Oreochromis niloticus: one gene and its partners. The protein of the gene in region 1 interacts with the protein of each later gene in a biochemical or structural test. Links are inferred from orthologs where the notes say so. Each region holds a gene or a part of one and is shown on either strand. Other genes may lie near its edges.

The links.
Region 2: the proteins of sp1 (region 1) and atf7ip form a complex in vitro, tested with the Homo sapiens proteins (3 studies listed by BioGRID). The link is inferred for Oreochromis niloticus from reciprocal best matches to the Homo sapiens genes SP1 and ATF7IP.
Region 3: the proteins of sp1 (region 1) and nfyal form a complex in vitro, tested with the Homo sapiens proteins (2 studies listed by BioGRID). The link is inferred for Oreochromis niloticus from reciprocal best matches to the Homo sapiens genes SP1 and NFYA.
Region 4: the proteins of sp1 (region 1) and e2f1 form a complex in vitro, tested with the Homo sapiens proteins (4 studies listed by BioGRID and IntAct). The link is inferred for Oreochromis niloticus from reciprocal best matches to the Homo sapiens genes SP1 and E2F1.

Annotation. Positions count from the first base shown.
Region 1 is NC_031970.2:5,752,690-5,760,169, forward strand, and holds the start of sp1 (transcription factor Sp1), read right to left. Parts: upstream 3,008-7,480; 5' UTR 2,856-3,007; coding exon 2,849-2,855; exon of another isoform or gene 2,775-2,848; intron 2,769-2,774; exon of another isoform or gene 2,588-2,768; intron 2,230-2,587; coding exon 2,156-2,229; intron 1,420-2,155; exon of another isoform or gene 1,328-1,419; intron 499-1,327; coding exon 1-498. Other genes in the region: tespa1 (sperm-specific antigen 2), read left to right, coding at 7,204-7,342. UniProt on the Homo sapiens protein: Transcription factor that can activate or repress transcription in response to physiological and pathological stimuli.
Region 2 is NC_031971.2:24,258,233-24,265,568, reverse strand, and holds the start of atf7ip (activating transcription factor 7-interacting protein 1), read left to right. Parts: upstream 1-4,324; 5' UTR 4,325-4,919; exon of another isoform or gene 4,920-4,928; intron 4,929-7,336. UniProt on the Homo sapiens protein: Recruiter that couples transcriptional factors to general transcription apparatus and thereby modulates transcription regulation and chromatin formation. Can both act as an activator or a repressor depending on the context.
Region 3 is NC_031984.2:21,203,430-21,210,771, forward strand, and holds the start of nfyal (nuclear transcription factor Y, alpha, like), read right to left. Parts: upstream 3,004-7,342; 5' UTR 2,856-3,003; intron 2,850-2,855; exon of another isoform or gene 2,559-2,849; intron 2,085-2,558; 5' UTR 2,065-2,084; coding exon 1,984-2,064; intron 779-1,983; coding exon 692-778; intron 1-691. Other genes in the region: ngrn (neugrin), read left to right, coding at 3,451-3,686, 3,800-3,910, 3,993-4,569. UniProt on the Homo sapiens protein: Component of the sequence-specific heterotrimeric transcription factor (NF-Y) which specifically recognizes a 5'-CCAAT-3' box motif found in the promoters of its target genes.
Region 4 is NC_031984.2:28,972,135-28,979,408, forward strand, and holds the start of e2f1 (transcription factor E2F1), read right to left. Parts: upstream 3,016-7,274; 5' UTR 1,922-3,015; coding exon 1,670-1,921; intron 1,423-1,669; coding exon 1,323-1,422; intron 348-1,322; coding exon 128-347; intron 1-127. Other genes in the region: znf341 (zinc finger protein 341), read left to right, coding at 3,569-3,599, 4,199-4,309, 5,346-5,536, 5,814-5,963, 6,044-6,373, 6,469-6,652, 6,762-6,855, 6,937-7,027 and 1 more. UniProt on the Homo sapiens protein: Transcription activator that binds DNA cooperatively with DP proteins through the E2 recognition site, 5'-TTTC[CG]CGC-3' found in the promoter region of a number of genes whose products are involved in cell cycle regulation or in DNA replication.

The DNA of each region.
Region 1 (7,480 bases):
AAACTGTTGGCCTGGTCCTGCTGTGGCAGGCACAGCAGACTCCTGCTGAGCATGTGTAAAATGCAGCGTCTGGCCATCCACTGTCTGAAACTGTGGAATGACCTGGTACTGGATGTTGGGCATCACACCTGATATAGTGGTAAGGACCTGCTGACCCTGCATTGACGGCGCCTGAGCAACTACAAAGGGCTGTTGTTGCTGCTGCTGACTCTGAGAGCTTGCAGCGGGCGACAGCACCTGTCTGTTCTTGATGAGGTCTCCTCCTGACATCACTCCTGAGGAATCTGTGGTGACTGTGTTGGAGCCTGAGGATGCTTGAACACTGAGAGGGTTTACCTGCCAGCTATTGGCACTGGAGGTAAAAACAGCCTGGTTTAGGTCCAGTTGCTGCTGCTGATTCTGTTGGTGCTGGTCGGCAGGGGAATCGTTCTCTCCCGGGGTGTCAATGCGACTGCATGTGGCTGCCAACAAGGCGAGTGGTGATGGCTGCTGTGAGTCCTGGAAAAAGAATAAATGAAGGAGCTTTTAGAAAGTAGAAATATATGAAATGCAATGTAGAGTTACAAAAAAGTAACAGCTGTCAAAATATCAGGATGTTCAAGTAAAGCTGGATACTTGCATGTGATTGAAAGAATTCACCTATATAATAAAGTTTAGGTGAAGAAGAGAGTGCAGGCAGGGTGGAGCAGGTGGAGGTGAGTGTCTGGGGTGGTTTGTGACAGAAGGATGGCAGCAAGAGTGAAGATGGTGCCACTAACTCAAAGGCAGAAGATGGAACTGGACGTGGCAGAGCTGCATACACCCTGGAAGTCAATCGATTGTCACTGCTTTAAAGTGGACGGCTGGTCGCTTGTGGACATTCCATGCTACTGTTGCCTAGGTAACTCTCTAACGTATTTACCATCAGGTCATGTGCCAATCAGCCGTATTCTTCACTTTCACTTGTAGTCTTGTCCGTTGGTTACCTCAGGTCCCACCCACTTCCTATCGCTTGCGGTTATTTCGCTCATAGTCACCTGAACCCGTGGAATATCATCCACTTTCTGTGGTTTCTAGTCATCCGGTCACTGCGAATCACTTCCAGTGTGCACACAGCTTTCAAGTTTCGTTGGGCGTGACCAGTAGGGATGGGTTTAGAAATAATATTGGGGGAAAGCCATGTGAAGTGAGAGAGAACGTTAGAGAGACGAGGCTGAGGTGGCGGACAAGCACAGAGGACGGAAAATTTATATATTGGACAAAGGATGTTGAAAACTGAGCTGCCAGGCAGGAGGAAAAGAGGAAGACCACAGAGAAGATTTCATGGATTTAGTGAAGGAGGACATACAGAGGGTTGGTAGAGGATGACGATGTTAAAGATGGGCTGAGATGGTGGTAGATAATTCCCTGTGGCATCCCCTAAACAAGAGGAAGTGTAGCCTGGTTTGGAAAGCCCAGTAACACATTAAAATGTAAATATTGTCCCACTTTGAAAATGACAAATTACAGGGTGAATTTTTAGAGTTTATTTTTTTTCCTTCCTTGCACATAATTCAAAGCATTTACAATACAAGTTTAAATGGTTTAAAATGTCTCTTTAAAAATATTATTTTCCAAATTAATTTTCTGATTTAAAAATGCTAGTGATGTGGTAGATTAATATAAAAAGAAGAAGAGGGATTTCTTTTCTGAATGTCAGAAATACACACTCTACTAACAAGAACTTTATTAATAATATTAAACCCACTTTCTTGCTCTTTCCAGGGGAGTGGGCATCAAAGAGAGATAGGTGAGGGGGTGTGGGCAGGGGGGTATGGGAGGGACCACATTTTTGTGGAGTTGCGGCGGGCTTGGCTTCCCCTCCCCCCAAACCCACCCATCTCCCTCCCACACTTTTAGTTTGCCCTATAAACTGACTCACTCCGCTAGCCACCCCCTCCAAGGCCAGCCAAATGGGCCGAGCGAAATACACACGAAGTGCCGGGTTTAACGGGAACACCCCGTGTGGGCGACTTTTACCTGCCCATTCCCCACCCCGGTAACATGTGCTCTGGGGAGAAAATCAACAACCCTCACAGACCCCGACACAAACGAGCCATAGAAGCGATCAAACAGATGGGAAGTGCACATGAGTTCAGTCTGGCAGTATCTCCAGTGGATGTGTCCCGTAACCTACTTGTGAATTTGCGTTTCGCTTTTGACTGAAGCCTCCACCGCTCTCCACAGCGGCCATTTCACCCTGCTGCTGATCTGCGGAAGAAGAGTTTTTGTAAGAGTACATCTCCTTAAAACACTTCACAAGAAAAAAATACATCACACATCGAAACTTACTACTGGGTGTAATAAAAAGGACGGAACACACGGAACAGCACAGGCCACGAACACAATAAAAAGGGTGTTTTTCGGAGCCGCTGTGAGGCGATTCAGACAAGAAGTGCAAGAAAATCTAAGTGCTCACAGGGCCAGCTACATGCTAAGCTAACGTGAACTCACAAGTGGTGTAAAGTATGAGCTGAAGTGAACGAAATGTTTTCAGCCACCGCTGTAAGTACAACTAGCCAGCGAGCTCACATCAGTTGCACAGAGTTAAGTGATACTGTCTGCTTACCTATTAATTTAAGTCCAAAAGTAAAGTTACTTGTGACCAGTTGGTTAATTGTTGTTAGCCGTGTATTAAAAATTAGCGGGTTTGTAACCTTAGTTGGTCACTTTTAAAAAAAAAAAAACAACAACTCGGCATTTAGTTATCGGCACACGCCACATTTACGACACGGAACACATTGAAAACAACGTACTGCCACTCTACTCCTTACTGTTCAGTTATCGGTTCGTCCACAACATGCCAGTGAGTTTTAAAAAGTTCACTTACTGCTCATAATTTGAAGACGGGAGGAGTTTCGCTGCTCTTTTTTCTGCTTGACAACTTTTCACAACTTCACACTAACTTGACGCCCCCCCCCCCCCCTTCTTTGAAGGAGAACGGTGGGTGCGTTAGATTTAGGAACCCGGCAGCCTGCCCACGTCGGGGAGAACACGCGGTATAGGTTTTTAACAGGCTTATCAGAGGAAGTAATGACAAGGAAGTTATTAAATGAAAGTAGCTCCCCTATACAGCTCAAGTCCAATTCCAGTTACGTTTAATTCAAACTTCTAGAACCTAATTATTATTCCTTTTAGTTCTTAGTACAATGTTCTTCGGTAGAAGGTATTTATCTAATATCAAAAATACAAGAATACGAGTGGAAAAATCTCCCAGTCGAAATAGGTATCCATATATTCAACAATGGGCGTTTTGTTATATTAAAAATTAAACTCACCCCCTGTTCACTGCACTATCGCACTGTTCCCATGAATAAAAGAAGCGCACCCTTCTAAGAGCTTCTTTTGAGCAATCGCTTCTTTTCTCCAATGGAGAAGGGCGTTTCTGCCAACGAGTATCAGTCGGCCAACGTAATTGGACTAGAGGCAAAAGACTGGGCGGAACCAAGCACGGTAGGTTGTATCCCTGAGTATGATTGACGTTTGGTTATCTTTTTCCGCTTAAAAGACGCCATGAGTAAACAGTTCTCGGAATATGGGCGATCGCCTTTATTCTGTCAGACATTTGAGCCTGTATTGTCCATCTGAGACATTAAGGCTCGTGTCTTGGTTTGAAAACGGAGGTGGGGAAGGAGGAAGGCCGCATGGGTATTTAAGTCTTGCCTCCGTGGCCACTGGCCACTCCCTGGTGGCGCCCGGTGGGTCGGGAAACGGCAAGGAGGCGGGAGGAGTTGGCCAGGGTGGCGGTGAAGATTCCCCCATCACACGCACACACTGGCTATGAACCGCGCGGGGAGGAGAAAATGGCTCGCCTGTGGGAGGGCTTGTATTATTAGGATTCGTGAGGGGGCTGTCAATACGGCAGCACATGTGCCCGTGTAAACAGGAGAGAGAGGGTGGAGCCCATCCCCAGGCCAGGCCTGCAGCCACCCACCTCTGTATGAACTCCATCACTGATACTTCTTCAATTCGACACAGACATGAATACATGAATACCGCCACACATTGATGCATGCATGACACCACCACACTCTGAACTGATCTAGCAGCACTAATTCAAGCATTCAGGTAGTCTGGAAATAAATGCAGTAATATGGCACTGTTAAAGCACGCTCAGTAGATGCTTTTCATCATATACTTTACTATGAAGACAATCATAACATCAGCTTTTTGTCCAGTATTAGCCCGGAAAGTGACATCACTACAGCATTTCATAAAATACAGTACTGTCCTGTATACCCACGTCCTTACAACAGATAAATAAAACTACAGCCTACATGCAAAATATCTGAAAAACTTGTAAATGTGTTTTTTTAATTAACACAGTTATATTAAGTGATTTTTTGTGAATATTTAAAGGGAAATACTAGATATGCATCATAGTGGAAAATGTTAACATTTATTTAAAACATAACTTTTACAGCTTTTTACCTATAGGTGATTATTAAAAAGTAAGAATAATAAAATAAAAATGTTACTTATTAATCAGGTGACAAATGTTGATTAATAAATAGCCTAAATCAGAGGTGGGCAATTCATTTTAAGGTTATAATAAAATAAAATAAATACTGGGCAGAACTGAGTTCAAGTCATTTGTATCTTTACTGGCTTCATTAAATTACAGTTTTTTCCCATTTTTTGTACTTTACTGCACGGAGAGTCCTGATTTCTGAATACTCTAAATCCCAGGACTGCACTCTTCTGACAAGAGACCTCTGATGTTGTGCGAGGAATCTGCAGGAGCCACTCTTCCAATTTCAGGGTTACAGCTTCTTACAGCTCCTCTTACCACTATGACTACTTTGGACTTTACCTCCACATCTGCTCCAGTTGTTCCTTCAGCTTCTGGTAGTTCTCTGTCTCCTTGTGCTCCTTCCTGATGTTGCTGTCTGCTGGGATTACCACAGCCATCACTATGTCTGATTGGTTGACCCGCAGCTGCTTGTCGGTCTGGAACTCAGAAGTCTCACAGGAAACTTAGGACCTTGCTGTTCTTCTTCTCTTCCATATGCAACACAGATGTTCCAGTACACTATCACAGCCACTTGGTTATGTCTCTCAGGGTATGCAGTCCAAGCTTGTATCTTGCATCCTGTTACTATGTGTTGGATAGTCTCTGGGGCGCCTTTGCACAGTCTGCAGTTTGGGTTCTGTCAGCTGTGGTAGAGTCCTGTCCTTTATGGTGCTTAGGACCTGTTCATGTGCTGCCATGATCTGAGCCTCTGTGCTATCCTGTAAGTCATCTTTTTCTAGCCGCTGGTAGGATTTCTGATGTTAGCTCCTTCTAATATATATATGAGCATCTCTGTCCAGTGGGGTGCAGTCCCAGGAGTACCTAAGATACTGTGCAGGACCCTCAGACTCCCAGGCCTCTGGAGAAGACCTGGGCCTAAGGAGTAGATGAATCAAACCCGTCAGGAGGATCGGCACTATAGTTAGAGATTGTCACTTTAGTCAAATTTGTAAGGATACATCACATTTATCAGTCAGTGCAAAAAATTATGCTAAAATGTCAGACTGGCATTAAGTGGCACACTGCACTGGGATGTTGGAGTGATGGCTACAAATGGCCTCTGTACTCCCACGGCATTAGCAAGTCTACACTTCTTTGGTGTCTTCATGATACACTAAGATACGAGAAAATCTCCTTTTTCTTTCTTTTTTTCCATTTTTTAATTACATATTTACGATTATCAGCGACTCATTGCTCTTTTTAAGCAAAGTTTCCCAGCTGCAGTTAACAACTACACACCTCACAGTAAAACGACTGAAGAAGATGATTGTGGGCCACTGGACGCAAAAATAATGTTTATTTGTTTTTAAAAATTCAAATATCACAGGAGAGGTGCAAAAAACACGCACTATTTGCCTATCATATGATTTGCATTCAAATCACTCGTGTCGCACTATCACCTTTGCCTCTGACATTTCCACAGACCTGTCTGAGTGTGTTTTTGTTTCTGCAGGATGTGCAGCAGCTGCATCCCACGCTGATAAAACTTTTGTATTTCAGACGAGATGCAAAGTTACTTCCTACAAAGGCTTCTCAAACCGCTTCACCGCCAAGATCCGCGCATATTCAGCCCGACCTATAACTGACTGCTTTCGAAAGGAAATCACCAGAATCGTCGAGCGGTCGTTAATAAACGGGAGCCTGCTGGATGCAGTTTGAGAGTTTTGTAAAGATTGCAGATGAAGTTGCTCGTATTTAAGCCGACACATACAGGAAACGAGACAAAGAGCGCCTCTGATACAGAACTGAAACCTGCGCCGATGAAGGTAAGGCTGCTTTTCGGTTATCAGCATTGATTGAGCTCTAAAGGCAGCATGTAGTCGCTTCGCTGTAGCTGGATGGAGAAAATCTTACTCCGTCTTATTATCGAGAACATAGCATCCAACGGCTCCTGTGTGCTGTATTTTAAAGTAAGTAAATAATTATTCTTAATTAGTATAATCATATATATTTAATGGTTTACACCTCATCGATAATCTAGACTAGTCTTATCTAGACTACACTTGGTTTCCCTTACATATTAAAGTAAATTACGACTTTTAATGAATAATGACTGCTTTTACTTTGAAGGGATTTAGAGTGAACTGTCAGTTAGTCATACTGAAGGCAACTAGAAGCCACCTTGTATCATTTTCTATTATCCGTATGTTTATATGTTGTTTGCTCTGGTAAATGCGCTTCATGAGCATTTAACCATAACATACCAAATTTTTATGAATATTTATCTGTACATGTTTTATATTGTGTCTGTTATCTTGTCTCCAGCTGTCCTGGAGGTACAATATTTCATCTGAACTGTTTGTCTGACTTTGATGAGCTTTAAGCAGTATAGTCTCTGAACTTAATGTCATAGCTAGATTGATTTGCGTGTAGCCACCTCATTTTTACTGCAATATTAAGTATAATCTATGCACAGATGTCTTAGAAACACTACTGATAAGGAAGCGGCTGTTAATATCCCTATGCAAAAATGGCTCAATTTTAATGAGAAGGGATACTCACTGAAAATCCTGAATACAACTGACTTTAGAGTAAAATGTGTTCATTCTCCTAAAGTAAACATTAAAGCCTAAAACTATGTTGCTGCTTCAGTGTTTCATCCCCGGCTCTTTCGTTGCACCTTGGCAGCTTTGACAGAGCCATGTCCCCCGGGTGTCCTGTGAACTGAGGCGATGGAGAGCTCGTCCTCCACAGTGAGGCGGCGAGCCTGGATCAACAGCAGCCGTCAGTGGGTCACTTTTGAAGACCCTGAAGGGCCTCTGTGCCCGCTCCCATCTGCCTCAATAGCGGACGATGATGTGTTCTCTGATGGTAAGAGCAGATTCTGGAACGTGGGAGGGATCATCCTCCATGGTGGTTTATTATTAACTATCTTCAGCATACATCAAGTGATCAGCTGAACTTGAAGATACCTAAGTAGCTGGATACTCCATTTATTGGATAAAGAGT
Region 2 (7,336 bases), on another chromosome or scaffold:
GAGAACATTTAAGCCATGGCTGTGGGAAAACAAACAATTACACTTAACAGATAGTGAAAATGCAACCAGATGAACTGATAAAAGACTGACAGAGCCAAACATCTGCCACTGATACAATGCCAACTGAATCAAAATTACTTGTGAATGTGTGTGTGTTTAAGGAAAGAGTGATGATGAGCCTGTTTGATTTACTGTGACTGTTTTAGAGCCTCTGTGTTTGGTGTCTATTTGCTAGCTAGTTACTGTCTGTCTTTTTGTTGTTCTTTCATTTTATGGCAGGTATTAAGCAGCGATAAGCTGCGAAAATGCCACCTACTACGCTGGAACATTATTGGAAAGGTCCTAGCATTGTTTACAATAGTACCATATGTTTTCTGAACTTTTTAGTTTAAGAAATGCTAACTCATAAGCATGCTAGACAAAAGATGACAATGACGGAGAAATAATTCCCAAGAGCAGGAAGAACAGGATAATCAGGTCTAGCAATGAGAAAAGACACAGAGACCGCGATGACCCATTACTGACTTAAAAGCAGTAAAACTGTAATGTTTCATATTTGTTTATGTCTATACACATGCACAGGGTTACATCTATACAACCAGTCTTAGCAGATATTAATTAGTAAATCATGGTGATTGTTTTTTGCCACAGTCCTGTTGTTTTTATTTTTCTACCAGCAATTAGGATGAAATTTACTAAACAGACTGATGTACCCAAGAACATTTTTTTCATTATTTTTAAACAATTAATAAAGCTTGTTTCATCTTCAGGCTAAACATTTAAACACAAAGTATCTGGAACCATGGCTGTAAATGAGCAGGCTTGTTATCCAAGGAGGGACGCCCTTTTTCACATGACTCAGCTTCCTGTATTGCTACCTCAAGGTCTTCATAGAAAACTTTACGATTTTAGCGACAATACAGGCAAGGAGATGTTTTTTTTTTCTTCTTCTACTGCTGGAAAGCATGAAAATCAATTTTATGTATATAAAATGTAAACCCTTCCTCTAGATGTCACTAGACCAACAACATCTGGACATTTTTGCTAATACTAGTCTCTAGCTTCAGTTTCAAACCTTATTTTTATATAGTGATCAAAATATTTTGCTACGTTAACTTATGAACTAACACTGTTCAACGTGTTGAAATTCTGTGTGAAAATGTGGATAAAATATTAAGTGGGTGTAAATCATGTTTACATGTAAAGATTTTATGCATGTGTGCAGGTACGTGGGTCTGGGTAAGTTTTAATATTGTATTGATAACTAGTAATTATAAGACAATGGCTTTCAGGCAATGCTTAGGAGGAACAGGTCGTACAATTAGTTACTAATGGGAGTAAAACTGTGTTTATTTTAAAGAAACAAGTAACTTACAATAGGTCACTTTTTGATTTACAATCCCAACAGTGTTTTTATGTCTGCCTCAGCACCGGTGACCAGATTTTGTCAACAGAACAGCACCGCAACCTTGAAATAACTTAAAAACTTTACCTATGAGATCAAAAGAAGGCGGCTCAACGGTGGGTGTGGTTTGGAAACTTTGTGTTATTGTATTTTATTTTTGCACAAATGTAGAGGTATGTTCTCCACTCTTATAAAGGTCCATTTCAGTAACAGATTCAGTGTTTTACATAAACTGTTTTCACAAATCCATCTGGAATAATCAGTTTGGGATGCTATTTACACTTCTCTGACATGAAGCACATGGCAGGAAACAGTCCTCTTCCCACATGCACTACTGTAAATACCGCATGGTTAGGGAAGGGAGCTGACTGAATGCAGGAAGCACATGACAACCAGACTATTACCAACACGCATTAGCGTAAACTGACCTTACGTGGACTTTGTATTGGGAAGACGGCAAATTAAAGACTGACTAAAGTTCGATTCGAAACTTTGCACCCTTTGTTGTGCTGATAAAGAGCTTTAGTTAATTTTTAATATGATTTTCTGGCGTTCTCTTGTTTACGCTGAGACTCTAAAGGACATGGCACACCATGTAGACACATTGGCTGGCAGATCGTGAATGTGGTTTACTGTGAGCTACAGTTTCTGTGGTGTACCTTTATCATTGGCTTTGTAGCTGACTTGTCATGTTCAGCTAAGGTTAAAAACAGTGTGTGCGGATGGTGGTTAAAGCTAAATTTCATGTGGGCTTTGGTATTAAACTATATTAAAAATGATCATCCAGAATTGTTTGTTCGTTCCAGAATTGTTTCTATTTGAAACAGACAACATAGTTTTTGTGGAGGTTTATTTAGCTTGTTAGTTTAAGTTTAGCTTCACAAAGTCAATAAAATTATACCGAAAACAAGTGTCTGTTCCTCATGCCTACCCAAAATCTCCCTCTGCTATAAACAAGCACTACAATACATGCAGAAGTTTGGACACCTCAAGGCAAATTAAACGTTTATTAAATTTCAAAGTAAAAAGATGAATAAAGCCCTTCGGGGAAACTAAATGTGTCATTTAATTATATATTTAACTGACACACCCAAACATTCAAGGAAACTCTCAGAGGTCAGCATTAATTAACTCATTAGGTCTCATACAGTTCAAGTATGCATCCCGCCTGTCACCCTATGATAGCTGGGATAGGCTCCAGCGTTCCCTGGCGTCCCTGAAGAGAGTGGGTGAATGGACTTGTACCGACAAATTTTCTGACCACTCAAACTTTGCTCTCCTACTTAGGAAATCTCGAGTTAAGCTAACTGACACTTAAAAGACTATTATAATATCATTAAGAATGGTAATTTACAGGAACACTGTAGAAGTGCTGGGCAGAAAGCCCGACTGAAAACTCCATATGATGACAAGGGACCCGGATCAGCATCGGTAAAGGGAGACCTTACCTACGCACAGACGACCTCTGGATAAGCCAACGCCTTTCTGAAAGCTCAATTAAGGTCCTCAGCTGAGACTGCAACCTTGCAAATCTTAGCAAAGGTATATTTGGAGGAAATAGGAACATGGAAAAATTCTGCTTTCAGGCTGGAGAAGAATGGACCCTGTTATAAATACATGTATACACAAAAAACACCACTCAAGAACTCACAATTATCAACAAGGAGAATTATGTGAAAGTGTGCGTACTTCAAACTAATGCATACAAATGTAGTTTTTTTATTACTGCAGGAAGTCAAGCCTGCTGTGGGGTTTTAATAAGCAAATTTGTGGCTACAGATGAGTGTGTAAAGACAGAGAGAAACAAATGCGCTTATTGAGATTTATTTTTTTAAATAAAGAGGCATGTGTACAGACAGCTTTATAACTCTGCCGAAACATACAAGCTCACCTGGCGTTATAGTGAGATTTCCAGCATTAGGAACTTTAAAAAATCCTGACAAAAATATTGAAAAGTACTCTAATTTTAAAAGGATTTATTCCTCACTTGCACGGGTAACTATGCAAAAATACTTCTACCATCAAAGCAGCGTGTTATGATTTATTGAGGACTCTAAACGGTGATTCACGAAACTCAGAGCTTCAGCTATGCAGGCTATTTTCAGGCTGCTTGTGCTGCCTAAGCGAAGGGAAATCTAAATGCTTTTCATTGCTGTGTGTTCAATTTATGCCCCAATATCAGTGTATGAGGACTAAGCTACAGTGTAGCCTAGCTGATATGACCACAGGGGGTGACTTGTCTAAGCTCAAGGCTGCTTTCTTCAGCACTGCAGACATGTCTGGTGTGCAAAAGGGTGTGAGAAAGAGAGAGACAAGCAGGCTCTTGGGGAGCACAGATACCAGCTCCCCTGCTCCCAAACACATGGATTCTGCTGCAAAGGGACTCAGACAACACGCGGTGCAAAGGTTTAAGCTATTCCTTTTCTGGAATACCAACAAACATGAGAATATAAGAACACTATAACTCACCCCCTGCTGGCCTCTTAGGGAACAGCAAGTTCCTCAAGCACAAGTGAGTGCACAAAATGGCTGACCTGAATTAATGCTTTGTGATCTCAGAAGGAAATGACTGTAAAAAGGCTGTTGTTTCTAATAAATAACATAACATAACTACTCGCTGGGACCTTCAGGTGGACTCTTCTCATGTGTGCACTTCCGTGTAGAAAGTGCAACACTTCAAGGTGCCTAACACCCTGCATAACCACCATGCTTGCAGATGCAGCAGGTCATGTGTAACTGTAAGTGTAGGTTTACAAAACTACAATCACACCACTGTCTGTAGTTAGGTTACAGACAAATTTTCAGGCTGTTGTTTGGCAGAAGGCTCCTCCCCCTCCCTATAACCCCTTCCCCTTAGCATTAATGTCTCTGGGCTCTGTCTGGACACCCCTCCCCCTCCACGCCAATGTTCAGCTGCCTGTTCTCTACCACTCATTGGCTCTGTGTCTGTCTCAAACCTGCTCCTGCTGCTGCAGGGTAACTACAAGCTGCAGCACATTTTCTTTGAGTCCTGCATATCCTCCGTACTAACCGACCTAAAACATCCTACAGCGATTCATATACATACCTTGCCTGCTTTTATCTACCGACTTCAGCACGGTGAACAACAGGATGCTTTAAAAAACCCCGAGTGAACCACTCAGACTGCATCTCTGGACTGCGCGACCGTTAGTCGTTTAACGACCAATCCCCCTCCCGCTCGCAACGTCAGCCGTTGGAGTTTTTTTGTGCGTGCGCGAAAGGAGGAGGAGTCTGTTCGCGAGTCAGAGGGTGCTCGGAGCACTCGGTTGAATCCGCGAACACAACAGTTGTTGTTGTGGCACAGTTCACTAGTTTCCCCGGTTCATCTTGAGAACGTGGACTTGATGCAGCACTGATAACGCATCCCGAGAGCACCGGTGCTTCACACAGGGGGTCCGTAAGAGTTGGTTTGGACACCAGCGGGTGAGGAGGAGACCGTACGGAACGAAGCTTAAAATCGCGGGAACATCGGAGGACAGCGTAGAGAAATTCGGTGAGTGAGGTACTGCAGTTAGCATGCTACCCAAACAGCTTATTTGTACTTTTATTTAATAGCAGTGAATGCCATCCTTTATGGAACTTGTGGTTCTGAATAGAAATATTTGATATGAATTAGGAAAAAAAAAAATCTGTTAATGGTAGTTGGCTGCGTACAATGCAACAGTGACCCCTACAGACCGGGATTACAGCAGACATGCATAATGAAAACCCTGTTAGCTAGCAGTGTCAATGTTCGCTAAATGAATAATGGTATATTGAAACTGTTTTTTTCTTTCTATCGATATTACAGAGTGAAAACATTTTATTTGCAGCTTTTATTTACAGACATTTTTTTATTTTATTTTTTCGGTAATGGGTTATATTCGATTAGTTTTTTTTTGTGTGCGTGTTAGAAAAGTCGTTCGCATAACCAGTCCGGAATCATAACATCCATGTATGCTAGCATTAAACTGTAAATTGAAATGAATGCTGATAAATCTTACATTGGTTATTCAGGTAGTTTTTTTTTAGTTTTTTTATTGCATACAGCATATATTTTAGAACTTTTGAGCCTTAAAAAATTTACGTGTCTATTCTTTGATTTCTGATGAACGTTATGAAACAAGTCGTCTTTATCTTTAGTTATATGAATAACAGTCACTTTACTATCTGCTGATTCAAGAAAGAGTTCTTACATCTCTCAAGTAATCAAATACTTTAAGTTTGCTTCCCAGTTCAGAATGTGGAAATGCACACTTGTGTCTCTGATGTGTTCGTACCTCATTTTATGACTTTTTAGGGAAAGTTCTACAAAGTCAATGTAGTCATGTTGGTGCTAGGAAGCAGCGAATATGATCAGCATGCTGCATGTTGAAATAACAAAAAACTTTGTGGCGTCCGTTATTGATCTTCTGTGGATGCTAAATGAACATTTGGTGTTTTTTATAAAATACACAAAAGTTTTTTAGCTCTTACTAGATGGTATCCCTGAATTCACTGCTACAGTATAATCTTTTTAACTTAGCTGTCTAAAGTGACTAGAAGTGAGTAGGAGAAAGCTGCATTCCTCATATTGAGCAGCTGAACCCGCCCCCTCCCCCTCTTGGTTTAAAGTGGTACAATCCAGTAATTTTCCATTTCACTCTCCTAGGATGTGGGTGTGGCCTAAAGTCAATGATCAGAAAAGAGTTGAGCAGGTTTAGTTTTTTACCTGCCAGTGAGTTTACTTAAAAACTGAAATCTCCACCTTTTATGGTTTTAGTGGAAAGATGGAAAGATGTACATGATCACTACACTGCACTAAAGATCAGACACCAAATGTCTTGGGCAATTTCTCAGTTTTCAGTGTTGTAGTCTTTCATCATATTTTCCAACATCTTACATATTTAAAAAAAAATCAGTTCATATAAAGTCCAGAGTTTCATATTTGCTTTTAATTTTTTGAATCATGTCTTGTTTCTTGTTTCACCTCCCCCTCTTCACTTCTGCAGTGCTCACATGGTGCACTTGTAATTCATTACAGAGACAGTTGTTTCCCTACAGAACAGGAAGCAGCCCTTAAAGGCACAACCTGTTTTTTTTGTTTTTAAGCTTTTTTTTCGATTTTACGTAAAGTTATATTTGACTTTGTTGTAGCTATTTATTCTGCTTTTCCTGTAATCCAGGTTTTTGCAATTACTGTAACAGTAATATGCTATGCTACATTTTGTAGTTTTACCTGTGTTCGCTTTAAGATTGTATTTAGTTTGGATGTGTGTTTCAACCGGTACCCTTTTGGTTGCAAAAAACCAGAGTTAATGATTAAGCCCTAAACTCTGCACGAAAATGTTTAGTGGTCAAAACAAACGTTTCCCCCCCCCCATAGATCTCTGTAGAACCAGAGGTTCTTTTTGCAGCCACAACTGTCACCTTCTGGTAGCTGTCAGATAGAAGCCGCTTCCAGATTGGCTTCATATATGTTAGAAATGCGTAAAACAAAAAATGTCAGCTAGCAGTGGCAGTGGCCAATGATAAATTAATTGCCTTCTAATACCATAGAATTGATCATATTACACCGGTAGTTTTTTAAAATTCTGATTAATATGACATCAAATGTTAAAGCAAACAACAAAAAGCTACTTAAACATTGTTACTGTTTTTGTTCATAACGAACTGTTTCAGGTGGGAAAAACTACCTTGTTATTCACAAGGATACATTGGAAAAAGGACAAGAAAGAGTTGTCCTCACATCTCTCCCTGTGCACAGTTATCTGCCACACTGAATCAAAAATCTGTTAATAATGAATTTTCTCCCAAGTTTCGCAATTGGAAAGGTACATTTGTGTCTTGGGTATGTTCGTACCTCACTTCAAGACATTAAAGGCCAGTCCTACAACATCAGTGTAACGCCGTGTTGATGCTAGGAAGCTGCAGACATAATCAGTGTGCTGC
Region 3 (7,342 bases), on another chromosome or scaffold:
AAACTTCTGTATGTAGAATTTAGGTCTTGTATTTACAGCCATACTGCTACTGAAACAAGAGCTTACAAGAACTGAATTTGCTTACTGTACCTTTCTGGTCAAGATGTTGGTAAAATTAATTTGCATTTACATGTTCAACTTGGCAAGTACTGATGTTTCATCTTACATCCATAAAGTGACCACAGCGTACAAATTATGGTCTGTGGCAGCAGCAGCAGCAGCAGCAGCATGACAGGAAAAAAAATTGCAAGGGCAACAGTACCTGCTGACATTATTCAGCACAACAGTAAGAAAAATATCAGACTATGATGAACAGTGGCAGCCAGTAATGGATGTGGATCCATGCAGACCTCAGAAAGATGTTCTGTTGTATATTCTGCATATTTTTCTCCACAGCCATCGGCACTTGAGAACAAGAACGTCTGACTTTCTAAACTTGCTTTTAATAGCAAGAGACAAGCACAACTCAGTTTAGACAGCCATGAGAACAAAAGCAATAACTGGAGGCTGACACACAAAACACTGTGCTGAGGAACGTGCAGTTGCAAGACATGCTTGGGAGGGAAATGATGAACCAAACAGCACAGATGGGTCCTGGAAAAATAAAAATACAAACAGCCCTGGCTATGGCATGCAAACCGGTAGGCTGTGAAACAGTCATGACACTGACACAGGGCGGCGGTGACACCACTACCTGGAGTGTCTGCACCTGCTGGCCTGAGGCCGTCACCACTGGCGCCTCTGTTTGCAGCTGCACAGCCGTCACTGTGCCTTGTGTCTGCAGGCAGGGCAGGATACAGACTCATACATACAGACTCAACAACAAAGTACCAAGAAAATAAATTGGAACTGGATTACTGCATCTCAAATAATCTTTTTTTTTTTTAAAAAAAACAAAAAAAACTATGTATAGTCAACCATTTCTGATTTGCATAAAAATTATATGGTCTGAAGCTTGGACATATATATAATGCCTGCTTTGAAGTGTTAGCTTCATATATGAAATATTTCTAGATTTGTTTATTTTAAAAGGCCAGTAAACCCAGTTTTCTGCCTTTTAGGCAGAAAAAATCTGCACACTGAAAACTCAAGCAAAGTTTGAACATAATTACCTTAAAAACTTGACCTGAAAAGTTAAAAAGTTTGCATATTTTAAAACAATTATTTTCTTGGTTATAGGTAGAGTAATTACAAAAGATCTGTTCTATTTAGATTATTAATATTTTTGTGGTATAAATGTGTGTCATGTTTTCTCAATCCAGCATGAAACTTGAATGAAAATAGCATCTTCTTCATGTTTGTGACCGAGGATTTCATGTTAAAAATTATTATACATGTTATTTTTCATTATTGTGAAGTACAGCTATATATCGTTAAGAAATTGTCACTAGTTGTCTTTTACAATGTGAATTTTTTTTTATTAATCTTTACTCAAATATTAGACTTTGCAGGACTGCTTTTAATTTTTCTCATATCTGATCTAGCCAATTTCTCTCTCCCAATTTACAGATGCTGGTTCAGTTTAATGAATCGAGAGTTTAGTAAAGAATTTCACTTTTATCTTTAATAGTGTTAAAGATATCCATGTTCAAACATTGCCTCGGATTTCAAAGCGTGAAAAAAAAAAAAAAAAAAACATGCTGAAAGTGGGTTGATGGGACATTTTTCAAAAAAATTTATATCTTAATAAATAGTTGATATCACTCTCAATAATACTTAGATCACAGGTATCACGACTTATATTTATACACACAGGTAATCCCTGGACCATAAACTTTTAGGGCAAATTGGGAGGACTGATCAGAAATGACACCATGATTTGAGATCCAATGATCCAACTGGAATCCCTAAAACTTTATTTTATTTTGACCCTCTGGTATTCATAATCTTACTACATATTAGTTCATATCTGGTGGTAGGGTAATTTTAAAAAAAATAATTAATTAATTAAAAAAGGAATAAAATTGTCGACCCTAAGCTCACCTGCTGCTGGATCTGTCCATTAGCTGTCTGAACAACAATCTGCTCTCCAGTAGTAGTGGTGGCAGTGGTGTACTGCTCCATGGCTTTTTACCGTGAAAAACCTGATGAGGCAAAGACAAAACATACAAATGAGCCAATATTGGATTTCTATGGTTTACAGTGCATTTTATATGTAAACAAATGATCTTTTTTTTTTTTACGACGACAAAAAAACCCCCGTCTTTTTAACCGATATCTACGTGTTTTCAATTCATTGGTCTCAATATTTAAAGAGGACCTTATAGTGCTTCCTCACACCGACTTGTGTCGCATTGTGTCAAATGTGAAGTCTACGAATTTCAGCTGAAACATGATCCCCCCAGGAGGACACAGCTGTGTCAGCTGCTGGACTCCTTCAAAGGGGAATTTTATTTAGCGGGTATTTTACTGGGGAAGCTAACACGGCTAGCGCCAGTCCGCTAGCTAAAAGCGTGGTAAATTCTAGAAAGCGCATAAGGATACTATTTGTGTCGTCAACTCCGAACGTGGATATTTTCTTGTGGGCAGCTTGTTTATTACAGCTCATTATAATGTACCTGGCAGTGTTTGCTGACGGTCGAACGGTGGCTTTATTCCCACTCTCTTTGTTCGAGAAACGATATTTTAGCGAAGAAGCTAACGCTAGCTAAGGCTTGTGGACCAAGCGGGGATCATGTTTCCTCGCGGTGGCCAACGCTAGAAACATGAAGCTATTTGTAGGTCTTGGGACGCAGCGGTCGAAATCAAACTGCAATTTGAGTTTTTTGCATTAAGCAGGGTTAGTAATTTGGTTGGTCCATGACAAACCAATCCGTGCTGACAACTACCAATGCCTTCAATCGGGGCTTCCTTACCGTATCTTCGCTGTCCGGTTTCCCTCTGATTGGCTCCAGTACAGCTTGCTAAAGCCCAATCAACAAAGTGAGCGGACAAAATGGCGCAAATGAAACAACGGCGACTGGGAGAGAGGTGCGCAGCTGCGTGACACTTGAACAGGGGGGCGAGGCAGCGTTGCAGTGTCCCCTCGGCAGATGTCGCCATTTAGTTTGAGTTTTCTTATTTTAGCGGACTTCTCCTGACTTGTATTATTTATGTTAACTGCTATTCGATTATGTTATCAGTGGAAATTATTCTCGCATCAGTACCGTTAAACCTGCAACGCGTGCAATTTAAGTAGTGTTATGGTCGAGGTAACCACCTTTGTTCAGCACAGGGACACGTAATAATGTTACCTCCGTAGCGCTAGTTGGCAGTAGAGCGCCGATTTTATGCTATGAGCCCAGTGTTTGCGGAAGTACTTCTACGAGTGGTACCATGAGTGCGTGAGCAGCAAGGTTATGTTTAATTTATAGTAAAATAAGTTTTTGTTATCATGACACCTAAGTGACTCCCTAAAAAACAAGAAAAGAAAAACGAAAGAGAAAAAAGGACGACACATCGTTTATTGGCATGGCCAGGTCTGTGCAGATACTCTCCCTCCTCTCCAAGTTTGGTGCTTCATCTCTGATTCCCTCAGTGAGTGCTAGCAACTGCCGATTTGCAAGCAGAGGGGCCAGCAAGGCACGGATGGGACAGGGCCCTGCGCAGGCAGACAAAGGATCAAGCAGACCAGGATACAGCGATGAGACATCTAATGGAGAACTCGAGCTGGAGGACGTGGAGGACAAACTGCAAGCTTTAATTCAGTAAGATTCAGTAGGACTTTTCACACATTTCTCCAGTGTAAAACGATGTTAAATAATAAATATATGGTGTCTTTATGACAAGATATATTAAATATTCTGGGGATTTGTTTCAGGGAAGAGAGAAAAAGACAGAAGACTGTGAAGTATCACATATTAAGGAGGCAGATGACACCATCAGGAGCTCCAGAGAGGAGGTTAACCTGGGATGCCATTGAGCAGATCAGGTGAGGATGAGGGTTAAGTTTGTCCAGATGGTAAACTAAGAAGTGTTTTAAATTAAGCCTAATATGAAATCTCAATTTTCAGATATCTGAAGCAAAATCAGCCAGACGAGTGGACAGTAGAGCGTCTGGCTGAAGGCTTCTCTGTCAGCCATGATGTGATCCTGAGAGTCCTGAGAAGCAAATTCATCTCCTCTCCTGAAAGAAAAGCCAAGCAGAATGCAAAAGTAATGGCTAAAATGAGCCAGCAGGTGCTGCCTTCAGGTGCTAAGACACAGCAGGACAGGTTGAAACTGCCCGAAAGGAACTCACAAGCCATACTCCCACCTGGGAGCACAGAAGGTGCTTTGATCCCTGTGGCTAATCAGACTCAGGTGATTCAAGGTCATGGCTCACGTTCCCTAGCTAAGAGTCCTGTCCCTGTTACTGTTCAGCCCACACACATTGCAGCTGGTATTAGTGAAGATGCCACAGTGACAGAAACAACAGAGCGCAGCACTAATGAGAGTGAGCTTACAGAGGAGGATGAAGAGAGTTGGGATGGACAGGTGTTGACAGAGGAAGAACTTGAAGAGCTTATGAAAATGGAAAAGCCCTCTCCAGCAGTCCAAGTTGGGAATGATTTCTTTGATGCAGATGGAAACTTTTTGTATAGAATCTGAGAATATTTTGTGTTGTTAGCTCAGCATGTGCAATGTTGGGGTCATGCAAATTACCAAATAAAAGTTATTTTGAATCTTTGTGCAAAAGATATTTGCACTTATATATTTTTTCGTCCAGATATTTCACGCCCATTTCACCCATGTATTGACTTCCCAGTTTATCCCTGTGTCAATTTTTATATAAGTCATAGACAAATGCATTCACAGGCCACTTTATTAGGTGCACCTTGCTAGTACTGGGTTGGATCCCTTTCTGCCTTCAGAGCTGCTTTAAGTATTAGTGGCACAGATTCAACAAGGTGCTGGAAATATTCCTCAAAGATTTTGGCCCATATTGACATGATAGGAATTGTATGACATCATAAAGTCATACAATTGATGAAAATGTGATACATCCATGATGAAAACTTCCTGTTCCACAACATCCCAAAGGTACTCTATTGGTTTGACATATGGTGACTGTGGAGGCCATTTGAGTGCAGTGAACTCTGTCACGTTCAAGGAACGAGCCTGAGATGATTTGAGCTTTGGTATCCTACTGGTGGGTTTAACTTGTGCATACGTGGATGGATGCAGTCAGCAACAATACTCAGGTTAGATGTAATCTGACACTCTAGGGGCCCAAAGTCTGACAAGAAAGTATCTCCCACACCCTTACACCACAACCAGCAGCCCAAACTTGTGCCTTCAGAGATGCTCTTCTGCATACCTTTGTTGTAATGAGTGGTTATTGGAGTTATTGTTGCCTTCCTATCAGCTCCAAGCAGTCTGGCCATCAACAAGGCATTTTCACATAAAGAACAGAGATCACAGGATATTTTCTCTTTTTTGGACCATTCTCTGTAAATCCTAAATATGGTTGTTTTGGAAAATCCCAGTAGATCACCAGTTTCTGAAATACTCAGACCAGCCCATCTGGTACCAACATCCATTCAAAATTCAGAGTCAATTCAATTGCCCCCAAAGAAGCACTCAGATGCCAGAGGAATGATTACTGCAGTTGTTACACAACTACAATTTTGAACTTATCCTTTTAAAATCTTAAAACTGGGACGCTTTGTAAAATGTAAACAAAAACGGTATGCAGTGATCTGCAAATCTCAAAGCCACATTTCATCCACAGTCAAAGACACAAAACATCACATTTAAACTGAACCACCATGTACCATAACAAGAAAAATATTTTGAATTTGATGGTAACAAGACGTGTCCAAAAAGTTTGGAGAGTGCCATTATGTAACATCCCCTCTTTTTCTAACAAATGTGTTTTCTTTGTTCTACTGTGAATAAAATCTGGGTTCATGTGATTCTGTTTGTTTGGAACTAGGTTTTTATAAATCATGTGAAAATATCCCCAGTTGACAGTTACCCATTATTATTGTTAGTCTCACATTTCTGCATTACTGCCGTTTGTGACAAACCACCACGTAGCAAAAATAGAGGAACATATGAATTTATTGGCAAACCCAAAGAAAATTGTCTCAAATATACAGAAAAGAGAAACATATCAGATAAAAAGGTGTAACCTTGTATATGTACAGAACCATCACAATGACTTCTTCATTTATACAGCAGTTTTAAATTTTAAGAAAAAGTGTGTTACCTTCACCTATAGCAATAAATGGTCGTAATAAGAACTCGCCAGGTCTCTTCCAGTGTAAAGCAGCTACATGATAACCCTGTGTCCACTCTGCTTTTATTCAAGATCACTCTCTTGTCAAAGTAGCCAGTATTAAATCTCATACCAACATAGAAAAAAAAGAAAAAAAAAGAATAACCAAGTTATTACAGGTCATTTTCTTTTCACAGCTGTAGATATAAGTATTATTGAGAGTTAACATGCAGTTCGGTGGGAGCTCATATAAAACAGACATTTACTGCTCAAAAATTATTCTTAGGCAACAAGTGCAACTTAGAGATGTCACTGACATACAGGATGAAACTGATTACATATCAGATGATATAAATTAAAAAAATAAAAAATAAAAAAAATCAGTAAATAGATGCTGGCCACACATTAGGTCCTCACACCAGGCACTTGTATAACCACATCCAATTTACTGCACTCTGAACCAGCTTTTCACCAATAAATTAAACTTTAAAACAAGACAGACAAATAATTGTGCAACAAATGTTTAACAAAACAACAACATGAGACGGAGTCGTTAAGACTGATTAAAAACAAAACAGTAGTTCACTACAGCTTCAAATTCAGAGATCCACCCACCAAACAAAACAGTCTTGGCATGGCTTTGGCTCTTATCCAGCCATGGTTACAGCAGGAGTTATGCTATTTTCATATTGCTATATTTCCAGATATTGATTAACTTGGTTATATGTTTGTGTGGTTTAAAAAATTATGTAATTCTGTAATTTTTACTCTAAAACTATATTTTTGAACTGCAATCTGTCAATTGTTATATAATTTGCAAAAATTGATTAGTACCAAAACTGCTGAAATTGTTACAAACATGACAATTATACGACTACAGTGATCATTTGTCTCATCACAATAGATCAGGTTTAAGAAAAATGTTATACTACAAACTCTTAGCATTACAGGAGGCCTTGTGCTTTAGGCAATTAGAACTGCAGACAACATTTTAAACAATTTCTGTCCTGAAACAGACATACTTTACTACCCTTGCAGTTAATGCACAATGTGTTATGCACAACGACATCGATTCATCCAACAAACCTAAAAATATCATGTTACTACAGGTTTTTTTTGATGTGCACGGAGAATTTTATTGCTATAAAATGCTATGGAAAT
Region 4 (7,274 bases), on another chromosome or scaffold:
AGAGAAAAACCGACTGCTTAGGATCTCCAGACACACCCACCAAGCACTCAAATTTATTCTGCCACAGTTGTTGCTCCCGTTCCCAGATTTCTTTCATTTGCTGTTTTAGGCGTCTTTGAACACTTACAGCCACTGGATGTTGTTCTTTGACTTCTTGGAGATGAGCTGGATCCCCTCCAGGACATTGGTTATGTCGTAGATGCGTCTCTTCTGAACATCCAGCACCTGAGACGCCCAGTTTAGATCCACCACGCCGTCGGCCGACTGGGACAACAGGTCCAGAAAGCGCTTGGTGGTCAGGTTCAAAGAGGTGTCATACCGAGACTTCTCTGCCGTGGTCCGAGGAACTGGGCAGAAAGAGAATACATACAAGAATTAAAAGAAATGCACATATTACTGGTCTAGAGCGTAAGCTGAGGCAGCGGTTTGGGGTGGGCAAAAGGTTCAAATGAAGATTATCAGTCACTTTAAAAAATGGGACTCTTCCTCAGGGTCACAGAGGAGCTGGAGCTTATCCCAGCTGTCTTAGGGCGAGAGGCAGGGTACGCCCTGGACAGGTTGCCAGTCTGTCGGAAGGCTAACAATAGAGACAGACAACAATTTGCACTCAGTCACACCAATGGGCAATTGAGAGTTACAATTAACCTAACCCACTAACTACATTGTCTTTGGACAGTGGGAGGAAGCCAGAGTACCCATAGAGAACCCACGCAAACTCCACAGAGAAAGACCCTGGCCTGGACCTATTTGCTGTGAGGCAACAGTGCTAACCACCGTGCTTTTGATATTTAAAGGAAAAAATTCCCCTCTTTGCTATCCAGCTGTGGATTTCGTCAATGACTGATACTGAAAAGCTGCTTTGCATCCATCTCCTTCCAAACAGATCCCAGTGGAAATCCACATGGACTGCATTTCTAAACGGTTCAGAAGTCTATCTTGCATGAGGGATAGACTCGTATTTCCACATTATACCAATTAATATAATGTGTGTGTCACGTGTAGCTTTTCCATTTCAAGTCCATCATTTGATCCTTTTGGTGCATGCAGAGTGCCCAGATACTCCAAATGAAAGGGATCAAATGAATTGATAAATCGCAGCGCCTCTTCCTTTGCTCCATTCTCAAAAAAACCCCAGTCTCTCTATTATTTGAATAGACAAATATTTGTAAGTATCTCTCAATACAGCCAGTCTGGAGGAGACAGGATGACAGGCCGTGCTGATAAAAGAACAGCTGCTTTTATGACAATGGCTGAGGGCAAAGGTGAGCAAGGATGTGTGGGCGAGGATTTTTTTAGAGTGGGGTGTGGGCTGTTAGCTGTACCTCTGGGAGGAGCAGGAGTGGAAAGCGGTGCCTGGCCTGTGGAAGGTCGAGTGGTGCTGACATACTGATGGTCACTGTCCAGGTCCAACTTCCTTTTTACCTGAAGGAACACACATGTCTGGAGTAAGAAACAGACATAAGACAGTAACAGACTAACTGCTGACACAGTCACGCACTGTTTACGAGCAGAGAAATGTGAAACTGATACCAGCAACAGGTGGGTAACTTACAGCAGCTCTGCTACGTGCAGTATGTAAACGAACAACTTCTCAGTTTAACCACTTCCCTTATTGCTCTTTCACTTTCTCTCTCTCTCTCCCCTTTCCTCCCACACCTCCCTTCCTCACCGGTGGCCTTCCCAGAGGTGGTCTCCTCTTGTCCTGGATCCCTACGTCAGCTGGGCCCTGTGGCGTGGCGAACAGCAGGATCTCCCCCGTGCTGGTCGGGGCAGGGGCCGAGTGGAGTCCTTCATTGCTGGGGCTGGTGATAATCACTATCTGGTGGTCCTCGTCCAAGTTGATACTCCCAGAGTTCAGCAAAGTCTCAAAGTCTGCTAACAGATCCTCCGATGTCTGCCCTGTTATCAGAGTCTCTGACATTGCAGTGTGTCACCAGGAGCCCCTCTTCACTGGACTTGGGTGGCGGTGGTGGTGGTGATTATAAACTAAGATGCTGTTATGACAGTATCAGCACCGACTCACATCTGCCATTTTTTTGTGAATGAAGGCAACAACGGTGAATTCTCGTGAAAACTGTCTCGAATGAGTTCATAAGCAGGTGGAACATTTCATAAACTGTTTTATTTTGTTAAACATTTTCATTACACCACAGCAATGTAAAGCCACGTCCTAAAACTCAGGCTGAGGCTGAAACAGCAAGCCAGGGTGTGCTGCCAAACAGGAAATTTGGCACATGAAATATTGCTAAATGCATACTATAAAAGCTCCGCCGCGAATAAGTCCGAAACTGGCCGTGGGAGAAATCCACTCTGGCAAGCTAGCAAAGGGAGCAAGCTAATCTTTTGTTTTCATCTCTCCTGTCAGTACAGTAGAGCCGAGGCCTGGCCACACTGCCCCTGAACAGCTACCACCCCGGCTAACGAGCTAGCTTCCAACCAAACGACAAAGACTCGAACAGGGTCACAAAACAAACCCGAGCAGCCGCCAAACTCGCAGGTCACGCCGCTAGAACAATATTACTCCTCCTTGTATTAAACACCGAGCGAAGTTAAGAGGCTATTAAAACTTTACAGCAGCTTACAGAAGTGAGCGATCAGAACAAAATATCCACGCCGCAAAAAAGCATCACGGGAACTTAAAATCATCTTTGAGACTATATCCATAAAAGCGAGCATCAGTCCAGCGGATAGTACATAGATGTGGTCGAATATGAATATATAGGGCAGATTAGCATGTTAGCTAACTTATTAGCGGCAGTTGTTCAATCCCCTTGTTTTGTTGGGGCACGCAGGAAGCAGTCCGACAAAACTGGAAATATAAGCACATAAAGCGGCGAAAAACAAGCGCACGGTTTAACATAACAATCGGTGGACCTCGCTTGCTCACCCCGGCCGCAATCCACCCGTTAAACCGCCGTCATTACCCCGTTATCGTCCTTTATTGTTGTTATTGTCTCAGCTGATCTACATCTAAACAAGCCCCTGACGGTTTTCGCGCGAAATCTTTTTTGCCGCGAAACCGACACGTGCGCCAAACAGTCGGTTGGGATTGGTCCGAGCTGAGCGCTTTTCGCAGGGCGGGGCCGAGGAGCTCTGATTGGAAGAAGCGGATGTCTGTCACATTACCGAACGCAGATAAATCGATGAGAAGCGCGTTCGCGGAACTTGGAAAATAAACCATTTTATTTTAGTTGAAGCAAATACATTTCAGTTTATCAGGGTGATGTCAACCAAGTTGTTTGTAATTAATATAAATTTATATTTTTGTTGTTGTCGAAGTAAAAAACAAAACAAAATATTAACCGCAGTTCTTCTAGCCGGTCTCGTGTTCGAGAACAGTTTCTCACAAATAATAATGATAATACTAATACTAATAATAATAATAATAATAAGTATTATTATTATTATTAGTAGTAGTAGTAGTAGTAGTAGTAGTATTAGTATTATTAGTATTATTATTATTGTAAAACATGTCTGGGTGAAAGCGATTTTCCTTAGTTGAGCAGAGTTACCTCAAGAGGCAGCCATAGGTAATCGAGCGCCTACCACGCAGTAGGAGTGCTACAAGATGGCGCAGGCAATATTTGAGGTGCTGGAAGGTATGAGTATTTCTTCATTGGCAGCGTAATTACAATTACCCAAAACGTTTACTCCTACTTTAGACATTTCACTGATGTAGGCCCATTTGGAAACGCAGAAAAAATAACGTAAATCCACGTACGAGCCTCTGGTTTTTGTTTCAATAAGGAAAACAGCATATAGGAAGGACTCAGTATGAATGTAAACAAACAAAGTGATTAAACACTTTTTCGACCTAACGGGCAGCTTATTATAAATCGTAGTCATCGTATTGCTGTCAGATGGTAAATGTATTTACATTTCACGGTAATTTTCTTTCCAGGTCCTCTTAATGACAAGACTTTGTAATATTACTGGACTAACAGCCTCTTTGTTGTAAATGAATTATTACTGTTATTGTTATTGTAGTGAGTACAGTATTAGGAGATTACTGTGCGCAGTGGAGATATCCTTATGGAAAGCTGTTAGTCTTCAACACTACTATTGTTTCTGATCACAGTTGATTCTTCTTTTAATAAGATAAAACTACTAATTCATATTTAGACACTTCAGTGCATCACTGAGTGTTCAGAATAAAATGGATCTTTGCAGCAGGTGAATTCTTCTTCTTACTCTTCAGGCATGGACAATCAGACGGTGCTGGCAGTCCAGTCACTGCTGGACAGCCAAGGAGGTGTTCCTGACCCAAACAACCAAAACGTCTCTGGGACGCCAACAATCCAGTCTATGGGTATGTAATGGCATGCACAGCTGTGGGACAGGTTGTGTTATTGTCCTGTTATTCTTTTATGTCAAGAGACATGTCATCCATCCATCCATTTTCTGCCGCCTATCCGGGTCTGGGTTGTGTGGGCAGAAGGAGAGATGCCCGCCCATCTCTTCTAGCTAATCCAGGAGGACACTAAGACATTCCCAAGCCAGCTGAGAGATTGCTCCCCATTCTTTCCTGGATTTTGTTCAGTGCATTCTAAAGGGATGACATGTCAGAAAAATCCCTCAGGTAGCAGGTATTTTTGAACTGAAAATACGGACCAGTTTACTCTGCCTGGGAGAGGGCTACCAAGGCCCAACCCTGGAGTCAGACATGTGGCTTGAGGCAGAGGTCAGACCTTAACTACGGGCCCTGTCCAGGCATAGTCAGACTGAGCAACAATGAGCCCACCACAAATAGAAGGTACCACAGGGGTTCGGTGCCTTGTGGATTGGGTGGCGGTCAGTGACCCTGGTGGTTGGATTCAGTTTAATTTGATTAAATCATCCCAGAGACCAAGGTTCTTAAAGTCTTGTCTTCAGATCAGTTTATTAAGTAAATGTCAGTTAAAACAATGTAAGTAGTATATAAGCACATGTTTTCATCCTGATGTTATTGCAGCTCATATTTGTGTCACATAACAAAAACCTTACACAAAAAGAAGAATCTAGAGGCAAGAATTTGATACGTTATTACAGTTGTGTTATTAGTTAGTTAGCTATTAGCTGGTTCATCAAACCAAAATTAAGTCCTCGTGACACACTCGACTGCTAGTTTCATTTATCTGGTGGTGCACACTTTTTGCTGTGAAATGCAGTCATCGTGTGCAGACTTCGAAAAATACTTTTCCTTTAAAATAGCTACCAAAGCCAAACGCATCACTGCAAAAACATTAAAGGACGAATATCACCACCCATTAAATGTCCAAAAGTGCATTAACATCCTCAAAATTGACTCATGTGTGTCTTTTTTTTTTCCCCTCTGCTGTTTCTTGCTGCCTAAAACCTTTATACAGACGATGAAGACGTATTCCTGTGTGGGAAGTGTAAAAAACAGTTCAACTCTTTGCCTGCTTTCATGACGCACAAGAGGGAGCAGTGCCAGTCTAGCACCCCTTCTCTGTCCACAGTGTCCTTGGCCTCCACCAATGCCTACACGCCTGTCCCGTCTATTAGTTCAGTACCGCAGACTCCTGCCAACAGACAGGTGAGGAAAGCAAAAGGGTAATTTATCTGTGGGGGTGATAAATAACTTGCTTGGTTTAATAAGTTAGTTGTGCAGAGCGTAAAGCGGTAATAAAACTGATAAGAAACGTAAAGAGAAGTGGGAAAGAGGTAATGGTCGGAGGTAAAGGTGACCTGATAGTAAAAGTATTTTATAAATACGTTATATAAGAGGCCAGGACTGTAAAGGAAAAAAAGATTTTCTTATAATGATTCAAAAAGTAGCTGATGTGACTGTGTTTGACTTGGCACTCACACAGGTGTCCACCTACATCACAGTCCCTCCCTCCCCTTTGACGCACACTCTGGTCCAAGGGAACGTGCTCGTCAGCGATGACGTCCTCATGTCCGCCATCTCAGCCTTTACCTCCATCGACCAGCCCATGGCCCCCATGCAGACTCCCATACAGGTACTGTTTGCCTCCTTCTCTCCTTCACGCCCCAGTGTTTTAATTTATTACATCAAATCTGTCCGCTTCCTTTATGACAGAGTAACCTGAGCATGCACACAGCCGGTGTGTCCTACTTACAGCACCATCACCACCACCACCTCCATCACCTTCATCAACAGCAGCAGCAGCCCCCGCAGCAGCAACAACAACAACAACAGCAGCAGCAGCAGCCACCCTCCCATCCCCTGCCACCTGCACAGCCCACCCAGCAGACACTCACTTCCCAGGTCCCGGCGAGCCACAGCAACTCAGTGGTGCAGGTGTACAGCACTCTGCCCCACATGGTCGGAGGTGGTGGAGGTGGTGGGGGTGGCGGGGGTGGAGCTGAGATCCACACACTGGGTCTGCAGCCTTTCCATCCTGTGCAAGTGAGTGAAGCTTGCCGTTTGGTTGCCGTCACAGTGCTAAATATGATACGCGCCCTTTTGTTTCCAGTTTCTGTGAGCGTACGTGTCTTCCTCAGGTGCCCAGTCAGGGTGTGGAGAGTCATTCGTTCACAACCCCTCCCGTGTACAGCCCCGGGAAGCAGGGCACCAAAACCAAGACCTGCAGCATCACCACCAGCATGACGGAGCTGGGTGACTTTGAAAAGGTTATCGTTCCCAAGCGACCGAGGAACTGTAAAAAAAGCTCAGATGGAGTCGCAGGTAAAAAGATTCAGTTTGTAGGCTACAGTTTTTACCTAATGGAACTGTAGAGGACAACGTGATGGATGTTTATTTAAACTGTATTAATTGTCTGAATTGGACTCTTCAGCAGAGCAGCTCAAGGGAAAAGGTCCAAAGCTCAAGTGTAACTTCTGTGACAAAGTCTTCTCGAAAAACTTTGATCTCCAGCAGCACATTAGGAGGTGAGTTGCTTGCCAGGATGTAGACTCGACCAACTTTAAAGCTGAAATAAAGGATTCATTAAAACAATTTCCCTTTTGCAGCCACACGGGAGAGAAACCGTTTCAGTGCATCGTCTGTGGCCGAGCCTTCGCGCAGAAGTCCAATGTGAAGAAACACATGCAGACACACAAGGTGTTGTGATATAGAGGTATCTGCATGATGTACTTAGATGTTAATCAACACACTAACAACAGCTGTCTTTATCTTACAGGTGTGGCCTATGAGTGTGGCCAGCACTGTGTCTAGACTACCAATCACAGTAAAGGTGGTGCCAGTGCCCCCCAGTGAGGAAGAAGAGGGCGGGGAACAGCAGCAGGAAAGTGAGCGGGATGAGGACGGGGTGCAGGAAACACAAGCAGAGGAGCCGACACAAGCAGGT